Linked DNA regions of Xenopus tropicalis. The protein of the gene in region 1 purifies or fractionates together with the protein of each later gene. This does not show direct contact. Links are inferred from orthologs where the notes say so. Each region holds a gene or a part of one and is shown in the gene's direction. Other genes may lie near its edges.

Evidence for each region. The genes of interacting proteins can lie anywhere in the genome.
Region 2: the proteins of llgl2 (region 1) and rad18 purify together in Homo sapiens (affinity purification with mass spectrometry; 3 studies listed by BioGRID and IntAct, counting the BioPlex papers as one, with this or other methods). This does not show direct contact. The link is inferred for Xenopus tropicalis from reciprocal best matches to the Homo sapiens genes LLGL2 and RAD18.
Region 3: the proteins of llgl2 (region 1) and dcaf1 purify together in Homo sapiens (co-immunoprecipitation; 3 studies listed by BioGRID and IntAct, counting the BioPlex papers as one, with this or other methods). This does not show direct contact. The link is inferred for Xenopus tropicalis from reciprocal best matches to the Homo sapiens genes LLGL2 and DCAF1.

What each region holds. Positions count from the first base shown.
Region 1 is NC_030686.2:44,561,009-44,565,152, forward strand, and holds the start of llgl2 (LLGL scribble cell polarity complex component 2), read left to right. Parts: upstream 1-1,297; 5' UTR 1,298-1,333; intron 1,334-4,144. UniProt on the Homo sapiens protein: Part of a complex with GPSM2/LGN, PRKCI/aPKC and PARD6B/Par-6, which may ensure the correct organization and orientation of bipolar spindles for normal cell division.
Region 2 is NC_030680.2:131,520,689-131,524,235, reverse strand, and holds part of rad18 (E3 ubiquitin-protein ligase RAD18), read left to right. Parts: intron 1-2,982; coding exon 2,983-3,329; intron 3,330-3,547. UniProt on the Homo sapiens protein: E3 ubiquitin-protein ligase involved in postreplication repair of UV-damaged DNA. Postreplication repair functions in gap-filling of a daughter strand on replication of damaged DNA.
Region 3 is NC_030680.2:127,318,532-127,322,078, forward strand, and holds part of dcaf1 (DDB1- and CUL4-associated factor 1), read left to right. Parts: intron 1-453; coding exon 454-687; intron 688-1,698; coding exon 1,699-1,792; intron 1,793-3,015; coding exon 3,016-3,120; intron 3,121-3,206; coding exon 3,207-3,280; intron 3,281-3,547. UniProt on the Homo sapiens protein: Acts both as a substrate recognition component of E3 ubiquitin-protein ligase complexes and as an atypical serine/threonine-protein kinase, playing key roles in various processes such as cell cycle, telomerase regulation and histone modification.

The sequences.
Region 1 (4,144 bases):
ATATTAGCAGTCACTGAGGGGTTCTGTGCCCCCCATATAAAGGCACAAGGCTGCAGGCTGAGTTATACAGGGAACTCTGAGTATCACTCATGTATTATAAGGGATAATGTACCCCCTACTGTAAATGATAAGGATATTAACAGCCACTGAGGGGTTCTGTGCCCATATAAAGGCACAAGGCTGCAGGCTGAGTTATACAGGGAACTCTGAGTATCACTCATGTATTATAAGGGATAATGTACCCCCTACTGTAAATGATAAGGATATTAGCAGTCACTGAGGGGTTCTGTGCCCCCCATATAAAGGCACAAGGCTGCAGGCTGAGTTATACAGGGAACTCTGAGTATCACTCATGTATTATAAGGGATAATGTACCCCCTACTGTAAATGATAAGGATATTAGCAGTCACTGAGGGGTTCTGTGCCCCCCATATAAAGGCACAAGGCTGCAGGCTGAGTTATACAGGGAACTCTGAGTATCACTCATGTATTATAAGGGATAATGTACCCCCTACTGTAAATGATAAGGATATTAGCAGTCACTGAGGGGTTCTGTGCCCATATAAAGTGACACCATATACCAAGTGGAAGAAATCACTATGTACGTTTAATAAAAAAAGAGCCAGTAACACATACATACAGTGTATATGCCACTCTAGCCGCTATCCCATATCCGTCTCACAGTCAGGGACTATTTAATCCTAGCGCGGAATGTTACGGGCGGGTCTATGTGCAACACAGGTGTGCCAGGTATGCGGAGCGATCAGGGGCGGAACGCTGCGGCGGGTTATATATTATTCATGAAGAGGGCGTGGTTTGGCAGCTGGTTTGTCACGTGGCAGTGTAGGCGGGGCCTGTTTGCTCAGGGCTCAGCGCTGATTTGTCAGTCGTTTCCAAGGCGTCAGGCATAGTAAATGAGCCGGCCCTCCCCTGTGGAGGAACCAGGAAGCAGTTGCGGCCCTAGTGCCTCCCGTGGGACTCGGTGCCAGGGAATTACCGGACACAATAGCTCAGGTGAGGGCAGGGCGGCGGGTCTGTGCGGGCTTGGGGCTGTACGGCTCTCTCAGTACGGGGGAGGGGGCGTTGCCTTGCAGTGTTTGCCCTTACCGCCAGGGGGGTGTGTGCAGGTGCACCTGGGGGGCAGTGAGGTGGCTCCGGCAGCGGATGTACAGTGTGTCCCGATAGGCTGAGCTGAGAGAGGCTTGTGGGTACAGGTGCATATGCCTACAGGTGGGCGGGGCTACAGGTGTACAGGATATGGCTGCCAGGTGGCTGGGCCTGTAGGTGTGTGGGGGGCTTGTTCTGTGTATGTGGTACCTGTATGGGCCTACAGGTGAGCTGGTGTGTGGGCATGTAGGTGCCAATGGGGGCAGGTGTGTGGGCATGTAGGTGCCAATGGGGGCAGGTGTGTGGGCATGTAGGTGCCAATGGGGGCAGGTGTGTGGGCATGTAGGTGCCAATGGGGGCAGGTGTGTGGGCATGTAGGTGTCAGTGGGGGAAGGTGTGTGGGCATGTAGGTGCCAATGGGGGCAGGTGTGTGGGCATGTAGGTGCCAATGGGGGCAGGTGTGTGGGCATGTAGGTGCCAATGGGGGCAGGTGTGTGGGCATGTAGGTGCCAATGGGGCAGGTGTGTGGGCATGTAGGTGCCAATGGGGGCAGGTGTGTGGCATGTAGGTGCCAATGGGGGCAGGTGTGTGGGCATGTAGGTGCCAATGGGGGCAGGTGTGTGGGCATATAGGTGCCAATGGGGGCAGGTGTGTGGGCATGTAGGTGCCAATGGGGGTAGGTGTGGGGCATGTAGGTGCCAATGGGGGCAGGTGTGTGGCATGTAGGTGCCAATGGGGCAGGTGTGTGGGCATGTAGGTGCCAATGGGGCAGGTGTGTGGGCATGTAGGTGCCAATGGGGCAGGTGTGTGGGCATGTAGGTGCCAATGGGGGCAGGTGTGTGGGCAGTGGGCAGGTGGTGGCATGTAGGTGCCAATGGGGGCAGGTGTGTGGGCATGTAGGTGCCAATGGGGGCAGGTGTGTGGGCATGTGGGGCCAATGGGGGCAGTTGTGGGCATGTAGGTGCCAATGGGGGCAGGTGTGTGGGCATGTAGGTGTCAATGGGGGCAAGTGCCAAGGGGCAGGTGTGTGGCATGTAGGTGCCAATGGGGCAGGTGTGTGGGCATGTAGGTGTGGGGCAGGTGTGTGGGCATGTAGGTGCCAATGGGGGCAGGTGTGTGGGCATGTAGGTGCCAAGGGGCAGGTGTGTGGGCATGTAGGTGCCATGGGGCAGGTGTGTGGCATGTAGGTGGGGGGTGTGTGGGCATGTAGGTGCCAATGGGGCAGGTGTGTGGGCATGTAGGTGCCAATGGGGGCAGGTGTGTGGCATGTAGGTGCCAATGGGCGGTGTGGGGTGGGGCAGGTGTGTGGGCATGTAGGTGCCAATTGGGCAGGTGTGTGGGCATGTAGGTGCCAATGGGGGCAGGTGTGTGGGCATGTAGGTGCCAATGGGGGCAGGTGTGTGGGCATGTAGGTGTGGGCATGTAGGTGCCAATGGGGGCAGGTGTGTGGGCATGTAGGTGCCAAATGGGGCAGGTGTGTGGGCATGTAGGTGCCAAAGGGCTGTGGGCATGTAGGTGCCAATGGGGCAGGTGTGTGGGCATGTAGGTGCCAATGGGGGCAGGTGTGTGGCATGTAGGTGCCATGGGGCGTGTGGCATGTAGGTGCCAATGGGGGCAGTGTGTGGGCATGGGCATGGGTGGCATGTGTCAATGGGGGCAGGTGTGTGGGCATGTAGGTGCCAATGGGGGCAGGTGTGTGGGCATGTAGGTGCCAATGGGGGCAGGTGTGTGGGCATGTAGGTGCCAATGGGGGCAGGGGAACAGGCTGATGGAACTGTAGGAGTACTTGGGGGTATTGCCGGGTACTTTCTGTATGAGGGTTGCAAAGCCGGTGAATGGACCAGTTGAGCGCTTCAGGCTTATTGCCCACGGCTATCAAACCTGTGTCCCTCATTTGCTTCCAAGGACTGTTGGGCAGTGAGAGTTGTAGTTGGGGCAGAGGCAGCAGTGGGTGGGGTGTGTGATACAGAAGGTGTGAGAGTGCCGGGTGGGTGTGACTGTGTGTCCAGGATATGTGAGTGTCTCGCTGTGGGAAATGTTATGTGGTGGGGCAGCGCCTTTGTCTCACTGCTCAGTGTGTTCCCCTGCTGAGAGAAGCACAGAGTCTTAGTAGCAGCTACTTTTTAATGGCTACTTAACGCTAGACAATACTGAGAATTCCCTCTGCTAAACACACACAGAGACAATTATCAGTAAATGATCAGCACTGTCTGTTTTAGTAGCTGTGACAAGTAGCTGCTACTAGTAGCTCTGTGTGTCTTCACCCTTATGGCTGCTGCTTGCTGGGGCTGGGGGGGAGTTGGTAATGGGGGTGCTATGCAATATGGCAGCCAGTGTATGAGTTGCCCCACGTGGGAACGTGCCGGGGGGCGTTCATATATTCCATATATTGGCCCTGCGTGTAGAATGCCCTTTTAAAGGCTAAATTAATAAAATTACCCTTGTGGGGCACCTGCAGTCCCTCCCTGCCCAGGGATACCGGGAGTTGCCCTTTCTGATTTAGTCTTTTCTCACATTCAAAAAAAATACCCTGTTGCTTAGATCGCTCAACCCTAGCAACCAGTTGCATACTGGATATCGGCAAGAAGAAATTGGCTCCCAAACTGTGCATGACATTACAGTAAAATGTATTTGTGAGCTAAAATGTCACAGTTCTGCTGACTGTCCTTTGAAGTGGGAGGCCGGGCGTCTGTTCTTTCCTGCTCTCAAAAGCAAACGTTTTAGTTCAGCCCCTGGAAGGGAGTCCTTGGGGACACTGCTGTGCTGGTTACTTTGAGCCTTCCTTGGGGACACTGCTGTGCTGGTTACTTTGAGCCTTCCTCGGGGACACTGCTGTGCTGGTTGCTTTGAGCATTCCTCGGGGACACTGCTGTGCTGGTTACTTTGAGCCTTCCTTGGGGACACTGCTGTGCTGGTTACTTTGAGCCTTCCTTGGGACACTGCTGTGCTGGTTACTTTGAGCCTTCCTTGGGGACACTGCTGTGCTGGTTGCTTTGAGCCTTCCTTGGGGACACTGCTGTGCTGGTTGCTTTGAGCA
Region 2 (3,547 bases), on another chromosome or scaffold:
GAGCGCTAAATCTTATGGGTCCCTGCACACCGAATCCCGGATTCGGTTCGGGATTCGGGCCAAATCCAGGCTTTTTTTGAAGGATTCAGTTTCGTCTGAATCCTAATTAGTAAGAATTAGCATATGCTAATTAGTATTTGGAAAGGGTTAAATGGTCATGGTAAAAAAAATTTGCCGCACGTGCAGCGATCCTAATTAGCATATGTTAATTCGAATTTGGTTCAGGATTCAGCAGAATCTGCCAGGGTGGGTTCGGCCAAACCCAAAAAAAGTAGGTTTGGTGCATCCCTACTGAAAGGAAAGGATATGATCTGTAGGGTATCTGTAATTGCAGGGTTTCCTGATATAATAACTGCAGCTCAGTTCTGCATATCACACTTGTATGTCCATCTCTGTCTTGCTGCTACTGCCTTGCATTCTGGGAAATTAACATCAGCAACAGAAATAACACACACTTATACATACATATACAGTAGTGTGGAAATGCTTTGATCTGCACAAATATTTTAATTAATAAAGCTGCGATTCCGTAGAGATTCCGTACAGATTCGGTATAATTAGTAAGTTCTGTGGAGGTCAGATGTTATGGCCGACTGAAATTACATTGATCAGTCTTATCTCATAATTTAATGTCATTAGAAAGAGGACAAATTTAGATCCGATGGAAACGCCAAGTATATGCAAGTGTATTAGTATTCAGTGCCATTTGATGTCTACAGTTAGAGATGAGAAACAGAATCTTCTGTTTTTATTAGAGGTAAGGCTGCTTAATGGTATTTTTTCCAAAACCTTGTTCTGGAAAACTTTGGATTGCATATTCTGCTTTCAAAAATGTTTTCCTGAAAATGGTACTTAACCTTGTACCTCACAACAATATCTGTGCGTGTATGGCTAGCTGAAGCAAAAAGATTAGCTAGAAGATTTTATATAGACATATGGCTTTCTGCACTACTACTCCTTTACTCAATATTATGTAAAGTCATGTGAAATTAGGTCTTCTGCCACATCTTATTTGTTTGTAACACACAACTGTTCCCTCTATTACTTGACCTTGTCCTTTGAGTACCTACCTGGGAGGCCTGGCTGTTTTTATTTGATATTTTGGACTGGCTGTAGTTATCCAGAGGATGGATATGGGTTTAGTCTTGAATCATTTCAGATGGTAAAACAATTCCATAAGACTTACACCACAAAACAGGCTTTGATGTTTCCTGTTCTAAAGCAAAACAGCATATGTTAAAGGAAAACTATACCCCCAGAATAAATACCTAATAAACAGTTTATATTTTGTTAAGTGACCTATTAAAGAATTTTGCTAAACTGGAATATATATATATATATCAGTAAATTTAGCTCTTTTACATCTTTTCCCTTGAGTCGCCATTTAGGGCTGTGGTAGACGGGGAGATTAGTTGCCGTGTGACAAATCTCCCCGAAATGCCATCCCACTGACTAGAATGTAAATCTCCGGTGGGATGGCATATGCGGTGCCGAAATCGCCGAAGTTTCCTCTCAAGGCAACTTCAGCGATTTCGGCAAATCGCCGCGCCGCGTATGCCATCCCACCGGTGAGTTACATTCTAGCCGGTGGGATGGCATTTCGGGGAGATTAGTTTCCTGGGACAAGGGAGATTTGTCGCGGGTGACTAATCTCCCCGTCTGTCAAGGCCCTTAGTGATGGGCTGTGTGCTCCCTCAGAGATCACATGACCAGAAATAATGCAGCTCTGACAGGAAGTAGTGTGGGAGCAAAAGGCAGAACTCTGCCCATTAATTGGCTGATGGGGCCTAGCATGTATGTGTGCCTTGGCTTGTTTGTGTGCACTGTGAATCCTATGATCCCAGGGGGCGGCCTTAAAGTGATACCGACACGAAAAAACAACTTTTTAAATTATGAATCTACATAAAAAGTTGCCTATAGGTCGTGTTGATCATTTTTTGCTGATAGGTTTGCTTTTGTAAGAAATTGTTACTTGAAATCCCAAAACCTGACTGTTTTGCCAGCCTGACTGTCCCTTCTCAGCCAGTCAGTTACAGCTTCTAATGCTAATGGCCACCTGCTGGACAAATATGGCCGCCCCCTCATAGAGGAACATGGGGGATCAGATAGTGAATGTAAAAGCTTGGACAAATACTTTTATGGCAAAATAATAAATAGCATGCAGAGACAATATTATGACAGATGTAAAAAAGGTTTCATTTCTGGTGTCAGTATCTCTTTAATTCTTAAAATGGCAGTTTTCTATTTAGTATTACCCAATAGCACATACTACTAAAAAAGTATATTTTTATGAAAATGGTTTATTTAGATGAAGCAGGTTTTATGCAATATATTTTTTTAGAGACCTACATTGTTTGGGGTATAGTTTTCCTTTAAAGATTTGTCATTGTTATAAACATGCACCCAAATATACTGCATGCTTTATTTCTTTTTCACAAATAGGTTTTCTTATTATTATTGTTCACTATTGCTGGAATTATCCAATTAGAACAGAGGAAATTGACAGATTTACTGTCAGCAAGAGTGTGTTGGTTTCAGTTTAAAAAAAATGTTAGAAATGTATAAAAAAAAAAAATAAAAAAAAAAAAATGTAATATACAGAGAGAGAAAGGGTTCCACACACAGGGACTTAGTGCCAAAAGACAAAAGTTCTATTAAAAAAAGTCCTGTCCCTGAGAAAGGGCACTGTCTTAGCTGGTATAAAGTAAAAGATACTGTTTTGTTTGAATTATATGATTATAATGGAGCCTATAGGAGATGGCCTTCCTTTAATTTAGAACTTTCTGGACAATGGATCCCATACTTTCTGGATAATGGATCCCATATATGTATGTGTGTGTGTGTATATATATATATATATATATATATAATATACACAAAATTAATGACTAATTGTGAACTGTATTAAATATCTACTACAATGTGGGCAGGTCTCCTCTGTTTTAAATAAAATTACAACTCTTTTTTTCTTGTATGTTTTAGGCAGCATCTTTCAAAGGTTGTCTTGGATTCACCTCCCATGTCGCCACAAAGTAACCCCTCCACCAGCAAGATTGCAAAAATGCAGGGATGCACTGGTAAACAAGTAAAGCAAGAGAACATAATAATGAATAGATTTCTGGTAAAAGGCAACTGTTCAACACCCCGAACTCATTCAAACACTTTACAAGATGAAACCTTTTTAAGCCAGGATTCTTCATATACCTCTGCTAATACCTCCAATATTGATTTAGCCGGAGAAGCAGGTTCTGTAATGACAGAGACGTTTGGTACATTTTCACCCTCCACATCTGCTCTAGCTGCACCCTCTTCTGCATCAAAAGTTAGAGGTAAGCCTCTAGTGTCCGAACTATTTGCCATATTTTTTATATTTTTATATATAATGCAACTATATTGGATTTTTATATATAATTAAACTGTATTGGATCTGGAATTAATCTGTTTTTACAAATAGTCTTAATTTTTTTTTTTTTTGCTTACAGTTGTTTATGTATTTAATTATATATTTTATATTTCTTTAGTGTAACATTTCTTTTCTGTCTGCACA
Region 3 (3,547 bases), on another chromosome or scaffold:
AAATTAACTAATGACCTTTTCAGTTTATGCAACTGGTTAGAGTACACAAGCAACCAATTAATTGGTCCAATAGGAAAAAAATAGGAAAAAGAGCAAAGCCTGGACATGATTATGTAAGCATCAAGGAAGTTTAAAATAGACTACTACCATACCTTCAGAAAACTGATCAGAAAGACAGAAAAAGGACTGATTTAACAGTATAAAATATTTTTTACTGTGGCCTTTTTTAATGGAAAACGGATTTTCTAACATGATGCGAGCATTGTTGATGGTTTAATAAGATTGGGACATTGAAGGTGAACAGCCCCTTTAACAACATGACGGCCATCCTAAATGCTAAGAGCTTGAGGGCGTGTTTAATGAAGCAGTCTTTTATGGAGGTTTTAAAGTTACCCCTACAGATAAAATACAGCATATGCTAGGTTTCTAACTTAATAATTATCCATCCTGCAGATTTATGATATTCAGACCGGGCAGAAGCTGCTGACTCTGTACAACTCAGATCTTGCAAATAACTACAAGCGCAACTGTGCTACCTTCAATCCTACTGACGACCTGGTGCTGAATGATGGAGTCTTGTGGGATGTGCGATCTGCCCAGGCCATACACAAATTTGACAAGTTCAACATGAACATAAGTGGTGTCTTCCACCCTAATGCCCTGGAAGTCATTGTGAACACAGAGATTGTATCCTATTAAATCATGAGAGCACAAGGAGTTTATTAGTCTTTAGAAATGAATGCGTTTAGTTTTCTTGGGTTGCTATTTTCTTACGGCTTTAAAGCTAATTAACAAATAACTGTGTGTAACACATAGAGCAGTTTGGCTATTGTCTTTTGAGGATAGGATTCACATTAACCATTTAATAATGCACATCCTGAACAAGGATTTTTCAAGTGCACCTAAAACTGATCTTAAATTGCAACTCTGGCAAAACTAGTAATGTGTGTTGCGAATAGTGTGCATCTATATTACTAATGTATTCTACAACATATTGTTAACATAACGCTGTTTAAAACATGCAGCCAAGTAAGTGAGCGAAGTGTTTGTGATTATATTTACCCTTAATGCTGAACTGCAGCTTTTGAGCCTGGAAACTATCCATTTGCAAAAAGTGGAGGGCTGCATGTTAAACATCCTTGCACCAGACTGATATCTTAAAGGACATGTCAACCCCAAAAATAATTTTTTGCTTAATAAATGAAAACATAATTCTAAGCAGTATGAATTTATTTAAAATTATTAGTGCTTTAAAAGTTATTTGTAAATGTAATTGCTGTAGAAAGCAGCATTTGCTAAATTCCTGGTTGTTACTTTTTAAACAATGTTGCAAGTACCAGGCTTCTCCAGCAATACAGGTCTGTCAGTCTGCCTCCTTGTGTTACATTGTTTCAAATGCCAGGGCAGAGAATAGAAAGGACAGACAAACACTGCTTTTAATAGCAGTTATATATACAAATAACTAAAAAAAACCATTACAAATATGTAATGAATGTATATTGCAAAGTTGCTTAGAATTAAGTGTTCGTTGTTTTTTTTTTTTTTAGGCAAAAGTTATTTTTGGGGTTGACACAATTGGGGTTGACACAAAACTTTAATTATTCAATCTTAAAAAATGGAATAACTGATGGGTGACATATGACCTACTATGAGATTTTTACACTCTGTTTAAAGCCCTTTTCCTTATATAATGCTCAGTGGGACCTTCGAACCTTTCACCTTTTGCATACTGTGCCGGCTCTGGACCAGTGTCGTGTTGTGTTCAATAACACTGGAACTGTTATGTATGGAGGTATGTATATTCTAATTAATGTATAGATGTTCCCTTTATATTTTGCAATGACACTTTAGAATACTGTCCATAATTAGTATCATTGATCCCCCAACCAGTGGCTCGGGGGCAACATATTGCTCACTAATCCCTTGGATGTTGCTCTCAGTGCCCCCAAACCAGGTAGTTATTTTTGAATTCCTGACTTGGGGGCAAGTTTTGGTTGAATAAAAACAAGATTTCCTACCAAATAAAGCCCCTGTAAGCTGATAGTGTGCATAGAGGCAGCCTAATAGCCAATCTTAGCCCTTATTTGGCACCTCCATGAACTTTTATGATGCTTGTGTTGCTCTCCATTTGACTGTGGCTCACACATAAGAAAGGTTGGGGATCCCTGATCTAGATTTTCGATAACCAAAGTAAATGGATCCTGGGGCTTAGTCTCTCTGCTTTCCAGAGAATCTTTGCACCACCCACTGTGGAAAGCAGAGGGACTCCAAGCCCCATCATTTATTACAGTAGAACAAGGTGAGGGAGGGGTTGCATTTATACTTTGACCACAAGACAATAAATAGAGAGCGAGACCAAGAAAGGTGATTGTGAGCGCTATGTCATCTGGGCCAGGAGTGAGCTCCTGGTGTAAGTGGTCATGTTGGCACACAAGCATGCCAATAAGGCTTAATGTCCAAATTGTTCATTATGTGCATGGATGTGACAAGATATGGGGGCCCACACCGGGTGCCCCCTCCGATGTAGGCAACAAAGCACACCCTACCACTGTTTTTGTGCAAAAGAAAATAGTACTGTTTGCACCACCAGAGATAAGTGCTAACAGGTTCTGCACTCCAGTTGGGGGGAAACAAATTAGCCCCGATAGGTGCCCTTTAAGGGCAGTGACAGACAGGGAGATTAGTTGCGCTGCGGCAAATCTTGACTGGGGTAATCTCCCAGTCTGTCACTGCCCTAAAGTCATGCTATATTGAAAAGTTACATTAGACCATCATTGTTGTGCTGCTAAAGGACTAGGGGAGTTATGCAATAAAAGACACTAAGTTTGCCCAGTAGCAATAACCATAGCAACCAATCAGGTAGACTTTATTAGTCATGTGTTTAAAAGAAAACATTTCATTGGTTGCCATTGGTTACTGCTACTTGGAAAACTTAGTGACTTTTATTACATATGGGTATAAGTAACACATTTATCTGTCAGTTATACAGATCCCCTTTTTTTCCTGATCTTTCAGCCATGCTTCAGGCAGATGATGAGGATGACCTACTAGAGGAAAGGATGAAGAGTCCATTTGGTTCTTCCTTCCGAACCTTTAATGCAACCGATTATAAACCAATAGGTGAGCCTTTATATCCACATGGTATTTTGTATTTAGTGGGATTTAGTCACTGTTTAAATAACTGCAAATGACTTTTGTCTCTGCAGCCACCATTGATGTAAAGCGCAATATATTTGATCTGTGCACAGACACAAAAGACTGCTATCTAGCTGTTATTGAGGTAACTAAAGACTAATTGTGCTGACTGACTGTGAATTAATATGCTTTTTTATACTTTTTATTTATCGTCTTTGGCTCCTGTTCTATTTTGAAATCCCAATCACCACCTAATTTCTAGAGCAAGTTACCCTGGCATACAGCAGTTTTAATTCTAATCAAGATAAATGCGGGACACAAACATTTGTAATTATGCAAAACCCTTAATAATGAAGAGCAGCTCTAGGTTTATTTTGTATACCTCTGTCCTTATAATGCTAAAAATTGGTTG